3 linked regions of the Diceros bicornis minor genome follow. The protein of the gene in region 1 purifies or fractionates together with the protein of each later gene. This does not show direct contact. Links are inferred from orthologs where the notes say so. Each region holds a gene or a part of one and is shown on either strand. Other genes may lie near its edges. The genes, in order: USP11, TCEAL1 and EIF4B.

The links.
Region 2: the proteins of USP11 (region 1) and TCEAL1 purify together in Homo sapiens (affinity purification with mass spectrometry; 4 studies listed by BioGRID, counting the BioPlex papers as one, with this or other methods). This does not show direct contact. The link is inferred for Diceros bicornis minor from reciprocal best matches to the Homo sapiens genes USP11 and TCEAL1.
Region 3: the proteins of USP11 (region 1) and EIF4B purify together in Homo sapiens (affinity purification with western blotting; 3 studies listed by BioGRID, with this or other methods). This does not show direct contact. The link is inferred for Diceros bicornis minor from reciprocal best matches to the Homo sapiens genes USP11 and EIF4B.

What each region holds. Positions count from the first base shown.
Region 1 is NC_080781.1:41,032,316-41,039,510, forward strand, and holds the start of USP11 (ubiquitin carboxyl-terminal hydrolase 11), read left to right. Parts: upstream 1-4,125; 5' UTR 4,126-5,600; coding exon 5,601-5,752; intron 5,753-7,195. Other genes in the region: CDK16 (cyclin-dependent kinase 16), read left to right, coding at 28-118, 1,826-1,903, 1,990-2,027.
Region 2 is NC_080781.1:96,664,862-96,672,078, reverse strand, and holds TCEAL1 (transcription elongation factor A protein-like 1), read right to left. Parts: upstream 2,743-7,217; 5' UTR 2,566-2,742; intron 2,121-2,565; 5' UTR 2,056-2,120; intron 1,701-2,055; 5' UTR 1,689-1,700; coding exon 1,209-1,688; 3' UTR 582-1,208; downstream 1-581.
Region 3 is NC_080756.1:17,197,901-17,205,724, reverse strand, and holds the start of EIF4B (eukaryotic translation initiation factor 4B), read left to right. Parts: upstream 1-4,735; 5' UTR 4,736-4,806; coding exon 4,807-4,819; intron 4,820-7,824. UniProt on the Homo sapiens protein: Required for the binding of mRNA to ribosomes. Functions in close association with EIF4-F and EIF4-A. Binds near the 5'-terminal cap of mRNA in presence of EIF-4F and ATP.

The sequences.
Region 1 (7,195 bases):
ACACATACACCCCCGCCCCCCACTCAGTTTGAAGGTCGCAATCGGATCTCCGCAGAGGACGCCATGAAACATCTATTCTTCCTCAGTCTGGGGGAGCGGATCCACAAACTTCCTGACAGTGAGTGGATCTGGGGAATGGAGCTGCCGGTGGGGGGCCTGTGGGAAACAGGACAGCTGCAGACAGCTTGGGCAGGTCGTGTAGGGCTCTGGCTACGCCACCTCTAAGAGGGTACACCCTTGTTCACACGTGTGATGTGTTTATTACAAAAAAAGTTATTTTCGTTTTTAGTTCCTGTCACCTTTCATAGAAATTTTCAAACATACATAAAAAAATAGATGCAACATCACTTTACCTGGTGTGCGTGTGTGTGTGTGTGTGTGTGTGTGTGTGTGTAAGATCGGTCCTGAGCTAACATCTGCCAATCCTCCTCTTTTTTGCTGAGGAAGACTGGCCCTGGGCTAACATCCATGCCCATCTTCCTCCACTTTATATGGGACACCGCCAACAGCATGGCTTGACAAGCGGTGCGTTGGTGCGTGCCCAGGATCCAAACTGGCAAATCCCAGGCCCCGCAGTGGAATGCGCACACTTAACCGCTTGCGCCACCGGGGCGGCCCCTACTTTACCTTTTTTTTTAAGTAAATGTTTCCTTGTAAAATATATACTGAGAAATGCACAGATCGTAAGTATACAGCACAATGAATTTTCACAAACTAGACACACCCATGTAATGGCATCCAGGTCAAAAACCAGGATGGGAGAAGCTCCCCCAGCGTGCCCCCATTTCCTTCACTTACTCCCGGTCCCCTTCCCAAGGGTCACTGCAAATTGGACTTATAACCACATAGATAAGGTTTCCCTGTCTTGTACTTTACAGAAATGGAATCACACGGGGTATTCTCTTTTTATTTTTTTATTTTTATTTTTTTATTTTTATTTTATTTTTTTTGGTGAGGGAGATCAGCCCTGAGATAACATCCGTGCTAATCCTCCTCTTTTTGCTGAGGAAGACCGGCTCTGAGCTAACATCTATTGCCAATCCTCCTCCTTTTTTTTTTTTTTCCCCCAAAGCCCCAGTAGATAGTTGTATGTCGTAGTTGCACATCCTTCTAGTTGCTGTATGTGGGACTCGGCCTCAGCATGGCCGGAGAAGCGGTGCGTTGGTGCGCGCCCGGGATCTGAACCCGGGCCGCCAGTAGTGGAGCGTGAGCACTTAACCGCTAAGCCACGGGGCCGGCCCTGGTATTCTCTTTTTATATCTGACTTGTAAAAACTTTTTAATATGGATATTTTAAAATTAGCTATATTTATATACTAGACCAAATAATAGGTTGAGTCCCCAAGTATTCCAATAGATCATCAACTTGTGGCCAATCTGGTTTTATCTGTATTCCTTCTGATTATTTTGACTCACATCCCAGACATATCGTTCATCTATAAATAATTTCAGCATGTATCTCCAAAATATTCTTTTAAACGTAATGATATTATCACAGCTAAAAAAATTGGCCCACTTCTCATGTCTCCCCACTGGATTAATCTAAATCAAATCCCAGATACCATCCATCACCTAGACTTAACAGGTGGTAATTGTAGTACCATCGTCACACTTGACAGAATTAATAATGATTTCTTGGTGTCATGTAATAGTCTATATTCCACTTCTAGTGTATTTGGTTTGTGTGTGGGATTATTTAACAGACGAAAGTCAGGTCTCTCAAAGAAAAGGCAAATTTTTCTAGTTTGCCCTGTGGGGCCATATGGGAGGTGGTCCTGCATGGCCCCATGGGTCATTCCCCACTTCTGTCTCTCCTCCACGCACAGCTACTTCCATATTTGCACTAAAGGAGATCCAGCTACAAAAGGAGGCCAGCCTTCGATCTTCATCAATGCCTGACTCAGGTAGATGTGGCCCTCGCCCTCTTCCCTGCCTCTTCCACCTACCTGCTTGCCTACCAACAGCCATCCGCTCTGCTTTCCCCCCGCAGGCAGGCCAGCTTTCCGTGTGGTGGACACCGAGTTCTAAGCTGAGTTCTAAGCCACAGATCAAGGCCCCAGCAGGCAGCGGCTGGAGGGATGCCACACCCCTCACAGGGCAGCCCCCCAACTGCATTCTCCCTGCTTGCTGCCTGCCTACCTGCCTGACTCATGCTCGCCTGCCCACGTGTCCCCTGCTGCCTGTCTGGACACCCGACCATTGGCCTGTCAACCCACCTATTGGCCTGTCTGCTGGGTGCTAACAAAGCTCTCATTGCTCCTTCGCCTGGTCTCTCTGTCTGTCTCTCTCTCTGTCTTGGTAGTTGCCAGCGGACAGCATGGCCATGCCAGCCTCCCACACTGAGGCCGGGCCTGTACCCCTCCCCATCAAACCCTCCCCCAGGACCACTACCCCGTGGCCAGCCAAGGGGCCGGAGCTAGCCCAGGCTGGGGATCTCGAGTCAGACAAGATGTGGTGATGCCTTGGGTCTGAGGCTTCCCCTGCCTGCTTTCCTGCCTGCCCCACCTGCCTCATGTTGTGTGGGCTTTTTTTTTTTGTTTCATTCATTGTTGTTTTTTAATTATTTTAAATGAGGTTTTCATTTTTTAAATGCAATATCTCTGTATACAGACTGGCTGGGCTCCACCCCCTGCGTGTGGCCCTCCCACAGTATTTTGTGCAATGAAGCCCCACTCCCAGCCTTTCTAAGGCAGGGACACAGCCCCTATTCGGAACCTTGACCATCACCAGACCCTGGGGTCAGCTAAGGGAAAGCATGCCTCGACCAGTCGCCTTCCTACCCCCGCCTGCCATCCCCAGCCACAGGGGGAACTGGGGACTACCGGAGACTCTCTGGGAGATGGGCGAGGTGGGGGGCCCCCACTCTTTCCCTCCTGCAGTCCCATAGCTGGGGCCTTCTTCCTTCTCAGGGTCTCCCTAGCCCAGCCCTCCTGCCCCCGTCCCACTTGGTGCTGTTGAGTAGGGGCCCTGCCAGGAACTGACCAACTCAATGAGGAGCCATAGTGTGTATATGTGCACAAGCAGGGGCAAAGGGGAGCATGGGGGGTTGTGCCCAGGCATTACCCTCTAACTCCTGGGGAGGGTGAGGCAGGGCAGGGACAGTCTCTGGGGTCAGTCCCAGATGGGTGGTTACCTCCCCTTCCTCCACTCTAAACCCTGGGGCCCTCAGATGGGGTGGGAGGGCAGCAGTGGGGGCCCTCCTAGTGGGGTTTGGGGGGTTGGGTTCCTGAATGCACCATAATTGCTGTATGAAATATTAAAGTCTAAAGTGAAAAACCTGATTGCAAATCCCTGCAGGGGTGGGGGTGGGCTTGACCCAGGGTTAGTACTGGGACCTTGGCGAATTCATACCTGGTCCCCAATGTCTAGGAGAGCACTGAGAGTGGGCCAGGGGCACATCACGACTGTGAAAAAGGCATCTGAGGGGTTGTACACGCAACAGTGGAACATTGAGTTGAAGCAGGTAGGGCAGGCCGAATAGAGGGGCTCAGAAGCAGAGAGAGGAGTTAGATTTACCCAAGAATATGAGGAAGCCAGATAGAGGGTAGAGATAGGTGAGTGTGGAGAGGTTGTTTGAAAGACACTTGGAAGGCCCAATAAAACCAGGAGGTGGGGAGATGAGGCAGAGAGATCCAGTATGACCACTATATGTCTGACCAGGACACCATGAGTTGGGCCAGTTGGAGAGGGAATATGAGAGGAGGGTAGATTTTGGATCACTGAGTAGGTAGGGGAATCCTTTAATACATGGGTCAAATTGAGGAGTTGGGCCATCGATGGAACTGGAAGTTTGGATCATTGGTGTCTAGGAAGTAATGGAAACCATGGGCATGGGTAAGGTGATGCTGGGAAGGATGCAATGGTTTGTGAGAATCCAGAGGTTAAATGGTGCAGCCTGGAACTTGGCCTCAGGTGTGAGGATAGCTGAGGCTTTGGGGGCTGGCATCACAGTAATAAAGACACAATCTTTGCCCCGTGGAGGTTAACTGAAAATAGAGGTAAATTATGAGATTGTGTGTATGGGTGTATGTGTGTGTGGAGGGTGTTAAATTGTGCAGGGAGAGGGTATTCTGGACACTCAAGGCCCAGGGACCTGTGTGCATGGGCCTAGAGGCATGGAAAGGCAAGGTGTGTTCTTGCCTGTGGGAATGGGTGGTGACAGTGAAGGAAGTCACTGAAACATCTGGAATCATGAACCTGTCTTGGGGAATTTGTGGGACGGTCAGGTGAGGACAGCGAATAGGCAGGTAGATGCAGGGAGCCAGAGAGGGAAATGACGTTATCACCAACAGGCAGGGCTGGGAGCCCTAGAAGAGAAAAGGATGGCATAGCCTAGTGCAGTGGTTCTCAACCGGAGAATCCCCACCACCACCACCACCACTAGGGGATGTTTGGCAATGTCTAGAGACACTTTTGGTTGTCCCAATTGGGAGGTGCTACTGGTGTCTTGTGGGTAGAGGCCAGGGATGCAGCTAAACATCCTACAATGCTTCCCACAACAGAAATATCAATGTTGTCTTGGTTGAGAAACCCTGGCCTAGTGCAATAGTTCTCAAACGGTCTCAGGATCCCTTTATATTCTTAAAAATTGAGGACATCCAAAGAGCTTTTGCTTATGTCATGTAGCCCCTGGAAAATTACACCGCACATGCAAGAAAGAATGGCAATGGAAAAGTATTGTGAAAATAGTTTTGACTTTGTAAACCCCCTTAGAGGGTCTCCTGAACCAGTAGAAAGCCTAGGACCACAGTTTGAGAATCCTTGGCCTGGTGTTTAAGATCACAGCTCTAGAACTGGAATTCCTGAGTTCGAACCACAGCTCAGCCATTTACTAGCTGGAGCAAAGTGAATTAATGTTTCTGGACCTCAGCTTGCCTCATTGTTGCCCATGGACCACAGTGATATTATCTGCTGCCTAAGGCTACTATTTACATGCAATAAAGCACTTAAGCAGGGCCGACTATTATTAGTTATTGCTGTAACTCCAACAAATACACAGGGCCTAGGGCTAACTTGCCTTCAACACGTTTGTCTAGAGAATAAATCTGGGCAGGCAGGGAAGCGGCCCGCAGGCCTGGGTGGCGCTTTAGAGGTGGTGACCTTTTTCGCATTGGGTTTTTATGGATCAGAAGGGTAGTGCAATGAAAGAAAGGCATTCTGGTCAGGCTAACAAAGACGCTGCTCGCAGGGTAGAGGCCCCCAGCAGAGCATGGGACCCGTAAGACCAGAACCTGTGTGTGTGTGTCCCTGAGCACTCCTGAATATGTCTTCGTCCACCTCGGGGACCTCTGCCTCCACCTTCCACATTACCGTCTGCCCTGGCTCAACATGGTGTCAGAATCCCACAGGGTACCTTTGTCTTTCTTAGTTCCCAACTGGAGGTTTTACCCCGCCTATTGGTCGCAGTGATCACCGCCCACAGCCCGACGCCTGCCTAGCCCTTCCACGCGTCCAAGCGTGGGGTCCATTTCCAAGATGGAAGTAGCCCCCCGGCGTTTGGGGGGCTCTGTTTCCGCTTCCGGGACCAGAATCCGGAAGTGGCAGTTGAGGGGCCTCTTCCTATCACCAGCTGCGGCGGTTGTGAGAAGAGGGTGAACGGCCATGGCGGCAGTCGCAGCGGATCCGGCGGCTGCGGATGCGGCCGAGGACCGAGAGCCACAGCGCGAAGCCATGCCGGGCCTGGAGAGCCAGCGGCGCCAGATCAAAAACAGCGAGAGTGGGCGAGAGCGTCCACTGCGGACCGGCGAAAGCTGGTGAGGCAGGGCGGCAAGCGGAGCCTCGGCTGAGCGGACGGTGGGGGCGTCGGCTACGGGGCGGCCGTGGTCCACAGGAGAATCGCCGTGGGGGCGGGGGCACTGGCCTGTGGGACGGAGGACGAGAGGGGCGGGGAAGTGCCTGTGAGTGGATCGCCTCCTCTGGGAAAGAGGCGGGGCCTGTGTGGTGGAGCCTGACGCCTGAGAACAAGATGTGGTTTGTTGTGGAAAGGCAGGGGGCAGGGCCTGAGAAGAACGGCCCTGGGGGTGGGGCCAGGCGTGTGTTGGAACTCGGAACCTGGGAAGGAGGCGGTCTCTGCAACAGAGCCCGGGGGCGGGGTCTGTGTGGCGAAACGGGGGCGGTGCCGGGTACCCCGCGGCGCCTGAGCGAGGCCGGGCGGGTGACGTCGGGCAGAAGAGCGGGATCTGAGCCTTACGGCTGTGGGCAGGAGGAGGGAGCTGGCGCCTGGGAACGAGGCTTGTGACGTGGTCCGAGGGGCGTGTCCTGAGCCGGAGGAGAGACTGCAGAGGGGAGGTGGTGTCTGTGAAGCAGAAAATGGCGCCTGCGAATGAGCAAAGTTTGTGACGCGGTGAGGTTTTTGCCTCTGGCCGAGGCCTTCTTCCCGGGACAGGAGAAAGTGCAGGTGATTGGCATGGGAGGGGCCTTCGATGTTACGTTTGTTTTCTGTTTTGGTACTGTTTTGTTTTTGTAATCAGGAAAAAATAGTAATTTAAAAAAAAAGTCCATGCCTATCTTGATAAATCGGCTTGTTCTACTGATTTCTTTGCTAACCAGTGCTTGAAATGAACTGTTTATGGGTTCATTTTATTTCTCGCTAAGTTGCATCCCGTTTTTTAAATTGTGAAATTCGTGAGACCTAAAAAGATGATAGAAAACGTTTACGTAGCGCAGATTGATGGACATTCCATAAAAATAAACGGCCTTTGCTCTTCAAAAATTTCAAGGTCGTGAAAGACAAAGGATGAAGAACTGTTCCAGACTGAAGGAATTAATGGGATTTAACGAGTCATGATAACTAAATGCAACGTGTGATCCTAGATTGGATCCCGGAGGAGAAAAAATAAATTATTTAAAAGTCAGGTTTTTTTCTCATAAAATTAATTTTCTCTCTTTTACTATAAAAGATATTAATGAGAAAATTGGTAAAATTTGACTAAGGTCTGTAGATTAGATATTAATACTGCTAATTTCTTGCTTTTGATAATTGTATTGTGGTTATGAAAGAATATCTTTATTTTTTTGGAAATACATGCTGAAATATTTAGGAGTAAAGAGCCATCGTGTAAGCAGCTTACTCTCAAATGCTTGAAAAAAAAGAGCATATATAAAAATGTATTGAGGGGGCGGGCCCAGTGGTGGCGTAGTGGTTAAGTTCGCGCGCTCTGCTTCGGCGGCCCGGGGTTCGCAGGTTCGGATCCCGG
Region 2 (7,217 bases), about 56 Mb from region 1:
AGCCCAGGACCCAGTGAACTTATGTTTGATTCCAGTGGAGAAAAGGGAAGCTTTCAGAAAAAAAAAATGGGAAGGACTATTTTGCTAAGAATTCTTTAAGACATGGAGGTTTAAGGAACACTGGGATGGCATCCACCTGGAGAAGTGTTAATATTAAAGCTGGAGAAGGTGCATTCTCCATATATCAGTAGGAGACACAGTTCAGCTTTGGCCCGGCAGGGACTCCAGAGCAATCAGTGAGGCTTTGCGCTGGCACTTTGGACCACGGAAGGAGCAGAACCCAGGAGAAGGAACAGCTGTGCCCAGCAGACATGATTGTATCCAAGGGAAGAGAATAGGAGGACAGAAATAGAATGTGGCACTCACCTGGAATCTCACAGGAATTATTTGTGAGCACAAGTGAGATCTCCTTTGGGTACTACTCTGTGTATTTGAAGGGAATCTATAGGGGCTGGGGTCCTGCATGTGCGGGTGGGGGAAAGAAACACACAGCTCATGCAATCTTTACCTCATTTGGTTCCACAGCAGCCTTGTAAGCCAAGTATTATTCCTATGTAAACGGGAAAAGAATGACCTTTAAACAAATATAAGTACCTGGTTTATATTTCGGCATAAGAGATTCAGAAGAAACATGGGATTTACTTTTCTTTTTTTAAGTTCTGACAAGTATTTATTAAGTGCCACATTGTCTTTATAAGCTGATTGACAGTTTTTTAAATTGTTTTACAATTTTTCATTATATTGGGATTTTTTTGCAACACAAGTAAAATGTGTTCGTGTTGAAAAAATGAGAAATTCCTATAAAGCAAAAATGGAAAACCAAAAAAATCACCTATTATCTTACCACACAGTCACTGTTAAGCCTTTGAAGTATATACTTTCAGTTTTTTCTTTGCATATTAATATATAAATATACATTTTTTTTACAAAACTGGGATACTACATATACTTCTTGAAAATTGCTTTTTTTCACTTCACAATATATAATGTACATCTTTTCATGCAAATGGGTGAGACTCAGGACTGAAAGAGAGGGACTTGCACATTGGGGGGGGCAACCCAATTTTATGCCAGTTACAAGCGAAACACCTAAAATAAAGCCACATAAAAAGTTAAAATTAAGAAGATGGGGAAAGGTATATGAGAAAAATGCAAAGTTCAGGTGGCAATACTTATATCAGGCAAAACAGAATTAAACGCTGAACACATTAAATGGGATAAGGACGGTTCCGTCTTGCCTTCCAGTGCATGATCATCAATTTGTTGCGTACTCTTTTCATCTCTTCCATCTCCTCTGCTACCTTTATCATCTCCTCGTTGCTTAAATTTCTGCCATGTATGTCTCCTCTAAATTGCGGGCGAGAGCGAGCCAGCCTTTCTTTAAAGCTTCCTTCTTCTAGCTTATGTTTTCCCACTCCACAAGGAGGCTGCTCCATGGGAGGGCGCTCCTCAAAAAGGTCCTTCCTAGACAGGCCCTCCTGCGGAGGGCGCTCCTCGGACACGAGCATCTCAGGAAGGAGCTCAGGAAGGAGTTCCTCGGGAAAAAACTCCTCCTCCGAGGATTGCTCCTCCGAAGAGGGTTCCTCCGGGGAGTGCTTTTCAGGAGAGTGCTCCACAGGAGGCCGCTCCTCATCTGCCTTGGGCGCGCTCTGTGGCTGTTCTTCATTCTCTTTGCAGGATTTTTCCATGTTGAGAATCGTCTTTTTTAAGCACAGTTATTCATAGGAGACAAGAAAGGCAGAGTCGAGTCAGAATACTTGATGGCTGGACCAAAACCCGGGCCATGGGTTCCAATAACCTGCCTTTTCCAGATTCGGGGCCCAGGTCCTCCAACCTACGCTTGCTGAGAGGCTTTCTGGCCCTGGGGACCCCGCCGCGTCTCGTCCCCCCGCCCTTGTCGCCCCCTCCTTTCCGAAAGCCCACCATTTTCCCAGCAAGCCTTGCCACAGGCCTCTCCCGCAGTGGCAGGGGCGGGGCGGTGGTGCCGCGGACTCCGCGCCCATCAGCGTCCTCCCTCTCACTCCATCCTAGCCCACTGCCCACCCCTTCCCCGACCTGGACCTCTCCTGGCCGTTTGTTCCCAGGCGTCCTCTCGAGGTGCCCCGCTGCGACCTGCAGACCTGCAGACAGACGCAAGACAGGGTAGGGGGCGGGGAGTGGAGAAGAGGGAAAGACTGACTGACACACACGCCCTTTTTCTGGGCACCAGCCGCCGCCCCCACGCCAGCCCCTTTCTAGTTCCCCTCCCCCCGATGCCCCATCTCAAGCTTGGTCCTCCGTGCCCCTACCCCTCCACCCCGCAATGCTCGTCATTTCTTTTCAGGCGGGAAGTGGAAGCGAAAGATGGCTTAGAAACTATTTCTAAGTGTCTGTGTCTCCCTCCCGGGGAGGGGGGGCTCACTCACCTCCCTACCCCACCTCTAAACCACCATTTTTTGCACCGAACTGTGGGCGCGGGGGGCGGGGCTGGGCATAGGGAAAGGCCTGGACGCTGCCATCCCGATTCCAGGGTTTACGGGGCGGCACCGACACTCACACCGATTTAAGAGGACCAAGGGGACTTACTTCGTTGTGCTTTTCCCCTCGACCAAAGGGCAATAGGCAGACGCTGTCTGGACAGGCAAAAAGGACCAGGACGAGAGAGACTTGGGCAGACACAGGCTCCTGGTCACGTGAGGGCCGCGCGTCACCGCCGAGCTCAGATCCCCAGTTACCGCTTTGACCGGCGGCCGTGCTGCAGCAACCTGACAGTATTTCCTGACCCCCAACACACCAAGCACCGTCACTCACCTCTCTTTGTTTATATTTGCCTTTTCCTGGTTACCAGAGACGATCAGCGTCTAGTCTTGGGGTTTATTGCCTCTTCCTCTCTGCCGCTTTGCCTGATACCCTCTCCCTTATTCTCCTGTCATCAGCCACTAAGGCCCATTATTTCCTCTACAGTCCAGATCCTCCACTGAAATTCGACTATTTCTCATTAATGAATCAATATCATATACCACCTCTCCCAGTTTTAATCCACATTCATAACTCCATCATGTCCACTTAGGCTCGATCAACATGGTTTTCATCTCTTGTCACTTTGATGAAAGATAAGCTTTCACTTTTCCATGACTTCAGGATTTTATTTTTTTTTTGAGCCTTCAGACCTATATTACGAATAGAAGCTCCATTCTAAGTTGGTAATCATTCAATTCTAGAACTCTAGAAAAAGTTGTTTGTAAAGTATATAAATCTAAAAAGATTGAACACTTTGATTTTCATAAATCAAAATACACATTTGTCCATCTAAGTACAAATAGTCTGAAAACTTACCTGAAATGGGAGCATATTTAGTGGAGAGTGTGGCATTATTATATATTTATGTATATATATACACATATATACATACATACTATTATGTGTGTGTATATGTATGTATATACATATATTCAGTAGTTATTATTGGTAATAGAAGAAAGAGATTTTGCTGGAACTCTAAATCCTTAACCAGCCACCTCTGGTGTTGCTGGTTGAGAAAGTTTATATTAGTTCATTAAATCAGCAAATATTTGGGTCCTGGGACTGCTGGACGCAAAAAGATAGATTCACCACAGAGGACATTCCTATTAAACTATGCAATAATTCTGTTAATCACACACTGAGTAGCAGGATTAAAATCATGCTCACATACTCAATTGTCATTACAAGTATATATTTTTGGATCTAATGGTGTTTTATGATCTTCAGCCTCATGCATGCCTCTCACCTACTCGCATCAGCTTGGGTGCTACTTCCTCATGTAGATGCCCTTTCCTCCAGAAATCAGACTATACCTCTCTGTAGTTTACACTTTCAGGGTAGGTGGCCATCAGATCTGTGAGGATCCTGGGATTGTTTTTTTCAAACCCGAGCTGTCTAGTAAGTTTCCAAACAGAAATTCATGTGTGAAATTTCCTGTTTTAAGAGCTTTGTGTCGCTTCTCTCCGTCTAATTTACTTTGTGTTGAGATAGCAGCAAGACAGATATTAGTTCACTTTTATATCGTTTCCACAACTGTTTTACTTTTCAATTTTTCAGTGATGTGTCTTTTAAACCAAGTTTCACTATACCTTCTTTATCCTTTTCACCGATGGTTAGCTTCATCATTTGTGTGGTTTCTTTCCAGGAGGAGCCCCATTTCATTCATTTCTATCCTTTTTTCCCTTACATCCTGGGATGAAGAACTCACTACCTTAAAAGACATCTCATTGAAATTTCAGACAGTTCTAATCATTCAGAGTGTTTTTTTCTTTTGTTGAGCTGAAATCTGCCTCCAAGTAGTTCACACACATTGGTCCTGGTTCTGCCCTCTGGAGTCGTACAAAACAAGTATTTTATAACAAAAGTGCCTTTTACCCTTGATAGCCTGACACTGCCAGAGTTAATGTTCTGGTTCTTTCCCCTTCCCATCTGTGAGACACACTGGGAAATCTACTTGACCTTTCTGTGACTCAACTTCCTCATCTGCAAAATTGGAGATATAGTAATACCTCCCTCATAGGATTGGTAAGAGGGATAAATAAGTCAGTATATGTAAAGGACCTGGAATAGTGCCTAGCACATAGAAAGCACTCTATAAGCATTAACTATAATTATAGTAATAGTAATAATAATAATAGAATGACTTAGTGCTAATAGTACTACTAATTATCATTCTTTTGTTATTAACATTAATTGAGTACTTATGCCAGGCATTGCACTAAGCACTTTCAATATGCTATCTCATTTAATCCTTAAACAATTATGTTCTCACCAAGACTTTTTTTTAGGTTTAATCTCCCCAGTTATTTCAGCTCTTTCTGAGGTGATATATTTTTTCAAAGTCACTCACCATCCTACATGCTTCTGAATTTGTAAATGTCTCTGAAAATACTGAATATTCTGCCTAGTGTAGAATGGAGTGATCTTATCACAGCCCTCATTCTAGAATAGCCACTATACATCTATAGATGCATCCTAAGATCATACTAGATTTTGTGGATGCCATATCACACTTTAAGTTGAAGTCAACTGAGACCCCCAGATCTCTTTCATACATCCCTGTTAATGCACTTGTGTAAATCTTTTTAATTTTAAACAAGTACAGAAGCTTCTGTTTTTCTGGATTAAATGTTGTCCTGTTCGATTCATTCCCTCATTCTTTGAATCCTCATTCTGTCATTCAGGACATGAGCTACAAAATATTAATTTAAAGCACGCCATTAGTACTAAATACGATAATAAATTCAGCAAACTCAGGAAAGATCTAAAGGAGATCTCAGCAAAGAGCTCTGACTCCAAATGAAAAAATTCCTTTTCCCTGTTGGGTGTGCCAGCCGGGAGTGTGCCCTGTCAGGCCAGTTCTCCTCCTTTCCACTCTCAGTAGGACTTCTGAGGGTGGGATTACTTTCTAGTGCTGCTGATAGAAGACACAGTTGCCCCTGAAAGCTGCCAAACCAGTATGAATTAACCCTTGATGAGAACTTGGTAAACTGGGGGGGCAGACAAGGGAGATTTAAGGATTAGAACCGGGAAAGGAGGAATGAAGACTGTGTCTTCATATTGGCTCTAAGTCTCTGCCTTGATTTGGGGTTCCCTTGAAAGAAAGGGCTCTCAAGAAGGAATAAGGTGAAGGTGGTTCTGCCATGGTGACCACCATGTTACAAAGGAATGTGGTCTGCTATTTGTCTCTGTGTGCTCTGGGTGGGGGCCGTGAAATAATTCTGATAGATATGATTTGATACTGCTGATTTAGGGTCCTGTGAAGACCTAAATGGTGCTTGGCTCACTAGTGCTAGTGAGAGTTTAAGTCTAAGGAACTCCATTTTTGTGTGTGTGTGTGTGCGTGTGAGGAAGATCAGCCCTGAGCTAACATCTGTGCTAATCCTCCTCTTTTTGCTGAGGAAGACCGGCTCTGAGCTAACATCTGTTGCCAATCCTCCTCCTTTTTTTCCCCCAAAGTCCCAGTAGACAGCTGTATTCATAGTTGTACATCCTTCTAGTTGCTGTATGCGGGACGCGGCCTCAGCATGGCCGGAGAAGCGGTGCGTGGGTGCGCGCCCAGGATCCGAACCCGGGCCGCCAGTAGCGGTGCGCGCACTTAACCGCTAAGCCACGGGGCCGGCCCTAAGGAACTCCATTTTAAAGGTGCGATAACTAAGGCTCTGAGAGGTGACAAATTATTGCCATGGAAACAGATGATAGTAAGTAGCCCAGATGGGATTTAAACCCTGGCAGTAGGACATGAATGATTGAACCTTAAACCACTTTGTTAAACTGCTCCTGGGCAGTGGGCTCCAGACACCTTTACACGCAGCCGGGGTGTGCGGCACAGGCCTTTTCAGGTAGCGGGAGCTGAAAGTATCAGAAGGCAGGCAGGGCAGCCAGGCGGGCAAGGGGGAAGGCAGTCAGCCCCTGGCAGCTGCTGCTATGACAACAGCCTCCAGGGGCGAGGCCTTTCTCTGGGGGATCTGAGGAAGCCCAGGATGGGTTTCTGGTTCAGAGATTCCTGTTCCCTCGTGAGGCTGCACTTCTGTGGCAGAACAGAGCCCCCTCCCTGTGAGCCCCTCTACAGCACAGACCCCATAGAGGTCTGGTTTCATTTTGCAGAGCCTGTCTGCCCTCTCCAGCCCAGAGGTTCCCCTGCTGCTTCTGCAGCCTCTGCATTCTTTCCTAATGACACCTATGGCAGTACTTTGGTCTCAAGACTTGCTGCTGTGCGCTGCAGCAGGCCCTGTCCAGCCTGTGGCTCTCAGGCTCTCCTCTCCCGCTCCCCCGCCCCCACCCCAGGGGAAATAGCCAAGTGGGAAATGCAATGATAAGAGCCTTCTCTTTGCTGCTTCTGGCCTCACACTAACTGGGTCTAGACACACACACACACACACACACACACACACACACACACACACATCCTGTACATGCCCAGAGAAACAAGGAAGGGGCTCTGAGGAAAGGTAGAGTAGAAACTCAGGCTGCTAGGAAACACTCAGGGACAGGAAAGGCAGGTCCAACATTGGCCCAGAGGGAGAGAGTCCCAGGCTCTGGGCTAGGCAGGACTCAGGCTGTCACTCACTCGCTGGAGGGCTCTGGAGGCCTGGGAGCCTTCTACCCCTCTCCTTGCCTCTGTTTGTGTCCTTCTTCTTCTCCCTAAAAGGTGGGGGGAGGGGCAGTGGAAGAGCAATGAATGAGGTCCCCTCCAACTCTAGGGTGCTATGACT
Region 3 (7,824 bases), on another chromosome or scaffold:
CCAGCCAGAGACTTGGGCAGACAACACCAGAATTCTGGCTCTCTTCTTTACAGGATTCCCCTCTCACTTTCTGAGAGCAGACACTGCCCTGGGCAATGCCTTTCTAATGGCAGAAATGTGGTCGGTTTTCTAGAGAAGCTTCAGCCACCCTGGACCACACTGGGCTGGCCCACCCCACATCAGTACCTTTTTCCAAGTTTCCGCTCCCCTCCAAAATCTGCTTGTCTTTGTTTCACAGCTTTTAGATAGTGGTGGGCTTTGTTTGTTTGTTTGTCTTCTTCCAGAGTTTACTGTTGTTATCTACAAAAGGATCAATCCATTGGGAACTTATTTACTATACCAGAAACAGAACCCCTAGATAATCTAGATATATATTTAAAATTAACCTTATACATTCAAAACTGTGATGAAAAGACTTTTATTTTGGAGAAATACACATCTTTAAAGCAGCAATATATTTTGTTTTCCAGTAATGAACACTAAATGAATCCAGGCATATAAGTCAATATACAGTATAACCTCTTGAAAACCTCAATAAATGTAAATTTCTTGAAAGTCTTACTTCAGCACCAGCAAATATGTACCGAGCACCAACAATATTCCAGATGTTAATTCACGGAAGGCATAAACATAATCAACATGGATGCTGCCCTCCAGGAGCTACCAGACCAGGAGGGAAGGCAGTTCAAGGAGGAAGGTGACAAGGGCCGAAAAGAAGGTGTAGGCACAGCGCTGGTGGGGCTCAGAGGAAGAAGCTCAGAAAAAGCTTCCTAGAAAAGGGGAGTTTGAAGAGCCCTTGAAGGATAGATTTTATTGTTGACCCATTCGGCAGTGAAGGAGGACAGAGTACTCCAGGCAGAGCGAAGAGCAAAGGAAAACAAGACTCAAAGTTAGGAAAGCACAAGGTATACATGGCTGGAATGTAGCAGACCAGGGAGGATAGTAGGAAATAAGTGTGGACCAGTAATCTGGGGCTGGATATCCACAGCCTGGAGTATCTGCCTAGGCCACAGAGAGCCATGGAAGGTTTGCCAGCAGGGGAATGTGTTCAGACCTATGCTTTAGGAAATAAATCTGGCAGCTACTTATTACATGTATTGAAGCAGGGAAAGACTACAGGCAGGAAGACTCAGAAGAGTGACGCATGGTCAGGGTGAGAAATGACACGGGAAATGATAGGAAAATGGAAAAGAGGATACGAATATAAGAGACGCTGCAAATGTTAGGCCTTGGCAAGTGATTTTCAATAACCAGTTTCTGACCCACAGAAACTGAGATAACAAATGTCGGTGGTTTTATGCCAGTAAGTTTTAGGGTAATCTGTTATACAGCAGTGGATAATTAACAGTTTATTTCTTCCAGATTTCTTCAGAAAAAATGATACAAAGTACTTGTCATAGACTTATTTTGCGATTTTAAGTTTTCTTTATTTCTATTTATTTATTTATTTTGCTGAGGAAGATTCACCCTGAGCTAACATCTGTTGCCAATCTTCCTCTTTTTTTGCTTGAGGAGGATGAACCCTGAGCTAACATCTGTGCCAGTCTTCCTCTATTTTGCATGTGAGCCGCCGACACAGCATAGCAGCTGACACAGCATGGCCGCCGCCAAGTGGTGTAGGTCTACGCCCAGGAACCCAACCCTCGAACCCAGGCTGCCAAAGTGGAACACGCAAACTTAACTACTAGGCCACAGGGCAGGCCCCAGTTTTCTTTACTTTTGAGAAGTCTCTGGGAAACTGAAAAGAACGTGGACCTGATAAGACAGGCAGCTCTGGGTCTGCAGTTCTGCCACTTGCTGGCTATGTGCACTTGGGAAAGGTACTTACTGTTTCCAAGCCTCAGAGTCATTATCAAAAATAGGATTAATAATATGAACCTTTCACCAACACACCGCTTGGCAAGCCATGCTGTGGCGGTGTCCCATATAAAGTAGAGGAAGACGGGCATGGATGTTAGCCCACGGCCAGTCTTCCTCAGCAAAAAGAAGAGGATTGGCAGATGTTAGCTCAGGGCCGATCTTCCTCACAAAAAAAAAAATTAAAAATAATAATATGAACCTTAGAGGGCCATTGTGAGGACTAAATAAGCTAGTTTGTTTAGTGCTTGGTATGACCCTGGGATATATTAGGTGCTTAGTAACTGAAAGTCTCTACCTACCCCACAGGTCCCTACCTTATCTGGCTCTTCTTTGAACTTTCCGAAATCTACTGTTTCCAATAGTCAATTTTTTTTCTTAATTCTCCTATATCATTCCATTTTAACGATCCAAACCAGAAGAAATACAGAATCTCAGGCCTCGCCCTGATCCTACTGAATTGGAATCTGACTTTTAACAAATTGCCCGGGTGACTTGTAAGCACATTAAAATATGAGAAGCATTGGACTAGTAGCTATCTCAAGTTTCATATGGCTTAAACAGAGCCCACACACTCTCTCCAAACCTGCTCCGCCCCGGGCTTTGCCTTCTGAGTAAACGGCATCACCCAGGTGTTCATGCCAAAACCTGTGCCCTTCACATCTAATCAGTCTCCAAGTCTACTTCCAAAATGTACCTGCATCTCTCTCTTTCCATCTCTACACTCATATCTAAGCCACTATCTCCTCTCACCAGGATTACAGCAGCCAGGGCCAACTTATCCAGTAGGCACAGCAGGCTCAGTACCTAGGCCCCACCATACTTTTAGAGGCCCACAAAAATATTTTAGTTTATTTTAAAATCATAAGAAAAAAATAAACATTTAGGTCAAAGAAAATGGTTTAATGTATCATATTAATACATTTGCGTTTACACCAGCACAATCATAAAATATAATTTTCAATATTGTTTTTATGGAGAAGGGTACAAAAGTCCCTAGAGTCCATGAAAAGTCACAATGGGACCCTGGCAGCAACGAGCTTTTAACTGTCTTTCTCTTCCATTACTGCGTCTGTATAATCCACTCTCCATTCAGTAGCCTGAGTAATCTTCTTGTTTTTAAATTCAAGCATGACTTCTATACAGTAAAGTGCACAAATATTTTTTTTTTTTTTTTTTTTTTTACTTTTCCCCCAAAGCCCCAGTGGATAGCTGTATGTCATAGCTGCATATCCTTCTAGTTGCTGTATGCGGGACGCGGCCTCAGCGTGGCCGGAGAAGCAGTGCGTGGGTGCGCACTCGGGATCGGAACCGGGCCGCCAGCAGCGGAGCGCACGCACTGAACCGCTAAGCCACGGAGCCGGCCCAAGTGCACAAATCTTAAGTGTACTATGTGATGAACTTTTACATAAATATCCACTCATGAAACACATCAAGATACCAAGTAATCCTTTTCAAAATTTTACTTCGTTATGACATTCCCTTGTCTAAAATCCTTTCATGCTTTCCCAACCCACATGGAAGAAATTCCAAACTCCCAAACCTGGTTTAATAGTTCACATGATCCAACCCCTACCTATCGCTCAAGCTTCATCTTGTACCACTCTCCCCCTCCCTCACCATACTCGAGCTACCAGTCCTCTTTTTTTTTTTTTTTTTTGGTGAGGAAGATTGTCCCTGAGCTAACACCTGTGCCCATCTTCCTCTATTTTGCATGTGGGACCCCACCACAGCATTGCTTGATGAGTGCTGTGTAGGTCCGTGCCCCGAGTTCCAGGGGGATCCAGGCCACAAACCCAGGACTGCCTACAAGGAGCACGAGAACTTAACCATTACGCCACCTGGCCGCCTGCTACCATCCTTTAAATCCCTCAACCTGCCAAGATCCTCCGGCCTTGGAGCTTTTAATTGAGTGTGCATCCTCTGCCCTCTCCTAAAGCTCTTCCTAAAGACGTTCACAGGGCTGCCTATTTGTAATTCAGATCTCCATTTACATATTACTTCCACAGAGGCTTTCGCTGACCAGGCAATCAAAAGTTGCATCCAGTCGCCTGTTATCAAATCACCTTGATTACCTGCAGAGTGCTTATCATTTCTAACATTTTATTTATTCACTGCATATTGCCCGTCTTTCCTTCACTGGACTATAGCGTCCTTTGAAGCGGTTTTGTTATCTCTTGTACCCAAAAAGCCAGTATCAGTGCTTGACACAGGGCAGGTGCTCAATGAAAATTTTCACGGCATGAAATACTAATATATGATAAAATGTAGCATTAGCTGGATAGCTGTGAAATACGGGCCTGAGTCTGACTAAAGCTAGTCATTGAAAAGAAAGATTAAACGAGGTAAAAGCTGACGGCAATTAAGTGTTCAGTATTTGTTACTTACTTATTCCTTCTAAACATGCCCAATTAAAATGATCCTTAAGCAGGATATTGCGCTTGTTTTGCACGAAAAGTGATTTTAAAAGAAACTTAGTAAATAAACCACAGATGTTTTTACACATGGGAAGAAGAAAAAAAAGGAAGAAAGAAACTCAGAATCTTCCCTTCCAGAGAATCAACCGCAGCACACCCGTTCCAGGTTCCAGCCGCTGCATTCTGACCCCGAGCAATAGAACCAGCGAGCACCACCCCGCCCCTTCCGCCCACCCCTCGGCCGGAAGTCTGAGAATCAGAGACCCCGCCCCGGGCTCAGAGCTGCCCCCTCGGCCGCGCGTAGCCATACGTAAAGCGTGGGGGTTTCGCGACAGCCCAGGCCCCACCCCTTTGGCCACATGTCACGCAGGTCTTCCCCGTCGGACGCCGCGCCACCTCCTCGCGCTGCTTTACGAACCCAGAGCAGCGCCGCCCCGCCCCTCCCAGTTTCGCGTCTCCTAGCCCGACGGGCCCGCTATAATCACGTGATCGCCTCATCCGGGTCCTTTGCGTTCTCTCTCCCTCTCTCAACATGGCGGCCTCAGGTGAGTGAGCGGCCGAGCGCGGCCAAGGACCGGGCTCCGAAGCCACTCTCCGAGCGTGATCCAGTGGTTCCTTGGAGTTGGAGAGCGGGCGGCACCGCTTCCCTTCGGGTTTTGGGGCTGCGGCAGGCTGGCGGCTTGGCCGTGTTAGGTTATCGCCTCGGGATGTTTTGGGGGGAGAGGAAGGACACCTTCCCCTCTCCCTCACACCCTTTTCACCCCGTGTGCGCAAGGTTGGAGTGGGGAGTAATGATGGGCTCTGGCTAGAGTTGGAGTGAGCAGGAGGCGCAGAGAGATCTGTGGGAGGCGTGAGGCCTTCTCACACACGGGCAGCCCTGTGCCCGCGGGAAGGCGTGGAGAAAGGGAGGAGGCGGTTGGCGCGCGGACGGGTGCACACCAGACCAGGTCTCCGAGGCGCGAGGCCGTTGCGGACGCGAGGGGGGGCTGGGGAATAAAGGGGGGGGCAGTTAGAACGCGAGCGCGAGTCGGCGGAGGGGCGGGGGAAGGTGGCGATGCGCGTGCGCGGTAGGAGAGGCCAGGGTAGTGGAGACAGGCGCGCCTTAAAAGCACGCGCGAGAGCCCAGATGGGGAGGTGTTCCGCGCCTGTTTTGCTTTCCTTTGTGTCCTTCCACTTTCTGCTCTTCCCCTTTTAGAGGTGGCTTGGTCCCTATGTTCTCCCGAGGGTAAATGTGTTAAGTTTGGAGGTTGAAGCTACTGGAGTTAGGTGGGGGTAGGGAACCCAGTGCGGTGCGCCCACGTGTTGGCGGAGAGGAAGCAAGGGTGGAGACCCAGATTTCTTGTAGGCTTTTTTTCTTATTCAATCAACACATACTTACTGAACGAAAACTATATGCCAGGCACGGTTCTAGGTGTTGGAGATGCAATGGGGAACAAGATCAAATCCCTTGACAGCTTCCATTTTGGTTGAATTTTGATAGCTCCAGTGGTAGAGTTCAGCTCTCTCTTTTTTTAGATAGCTGCACAACTACTACAGAGTGCTTTTAAAATAATACTAGTGGCTAGAGTTGGTTTCCTTTTTAGACTTCTTCGGGAGAGGGAATGTCACTGTCAGGCAAATCTATTTGCATTTCTAATAGGCTTACCAGTGAGCTGTGCAACGATTTCGTAGCATTGGTTTTAGTTTTGGGGATATAGTTTCTTTTTCCTCGCATGACCCTGCATTCTACAAAACATTTATTGAACCCTGCTATCTCTGGACACTCACTTCTAACCAAGAATGTATCTTCTCTGTTATTACATAGGAAACTAAGGATTACGTATGTCTTTGGAAAATGTTGAGGAAATTGAGGTGTATTTGAGCTTAATTCCCTTCATTGGCATAGCACTTGACAATTGACCAAGCACTTTTATATGTATTGTCTTATTTGATTCTCTTATTTGATTGTCTGTGAGATAATGTAGGCAGATGGTGGTATCTCCCAGCTGAGGAAGATGAAATTTTGTTCAAGGTCAAACTGCTTGCCAGTCGAAATTTTTGAGACTCTTGACTCTTCTACATTATCAACTTGGAAATGACAAAGTTGGCTTCCATGTCATCATAAATTTGGGATGCTCCCTGAAAGCTTCATCTGAAGTAGAGTACTTACTTGGCCTGGATTTGCCATCTTGATGGCTTAGTGTCATAATTTAGTGAAAAGCCTATATTCCCTTTCTCCATAACTTTTGTGGAATTTTTAGAGGTGGAAGATAATGTTAGCAATCCGTGTCCTTCATTTTACGGAGTTGAGTGAAATTTGCACTGGTTAAAGTGGTTTGCTTAGTCTTTGTCCCCTTCACCTGTTCTTCGATGTTTACCCTACACCCTTGGAAGCCCTCATGTCCTTTAAGTTGGTTCCATAAATCTTTCTGGCTTGTGTACTATGTGTAAGGGAACTACGCTAGTGTCTGAGCAGAAGGTTACATCTGACGGTCTGCCCTTGAGGAACTTGGGGTTTATCAAATTTCTTTCCTTACTTTGAATCTTCCAATTGCATTGATTTTGTCAAGTGACCAGTATTCACAGATGTGGCTGTATTGATGAGACTATAAAATTCTCAGTGTATTTTCAGTATACTACTTGATAATGCTCAGTGTCTTGTTGAAAATAGACCTTATATGTTCTCAGTGAAAGTACATGATAAAATTTCATAGGCCTCTTCTACTGTTAAATGACACCAAAAAATTCTTTGCAGCAATACCAGTCAGTATCCATTATGACCCATTATTGACCTTCAAGAACTGAAAGTGTCCCAGATTTGACTATTGAATCTGCTCTCCTTACCTAAAAGGAATCGAATGTGCTTGATACAGGTTAACATTTTTTGAGACTAAAAAGCTTTAAAATTGGAAATAGTGTATGTATGCCCACACAAGGCCTTCATTTGCATAGCGCTTCAAAATGCCATTGCATGTGGCATCTTGTTTTATGGGGAGAGGATGGTGTCCAATGGTTGTTTTCATAAAATGCTGACCCTTATAGTTAAAAATCACTTCAGTGGTTGCCATTATATACTGTTCACATGTTACCTATTTTCAAATCCCATCCCCTACTAATATTTGTTATTCTAGGAGTAAGATACCCAGATTCAGAAGGCCAAGACTTAAAACTCCTTATAAAAATTCAAGGACAGGGGCTGGCCCTGTGGCGTAGCAGTTGAAGTGCCCGTGCTCTGCTGCTGGCGGCCCGGGTTCGGATCCCGGGCGCACACCGAGGCACCGCTTGTCAGGCCATGCTGTGGCAGCGTCCCATATAAAGTGGAGGAAGATGGGCATGGATGTTAGCCCAGGGCCAATGCTATAGGAGCCAATCTCTGCATAACTGCTTTCTTTCAAAGCATAGAGTAGGTCTAGAATATAATCTGGTTGGTCATGAATGATAACTTTTGGAGTAGGATTAGTGTTAAGTCACTTGGGAAAAACATGGAAACTTCACATTCAAGGCCGTTTGTCATCCAACAGTGATTTCTCAACCAGGAGTTTTTGGAGGGGGCAGTGACCGAATCAGAATG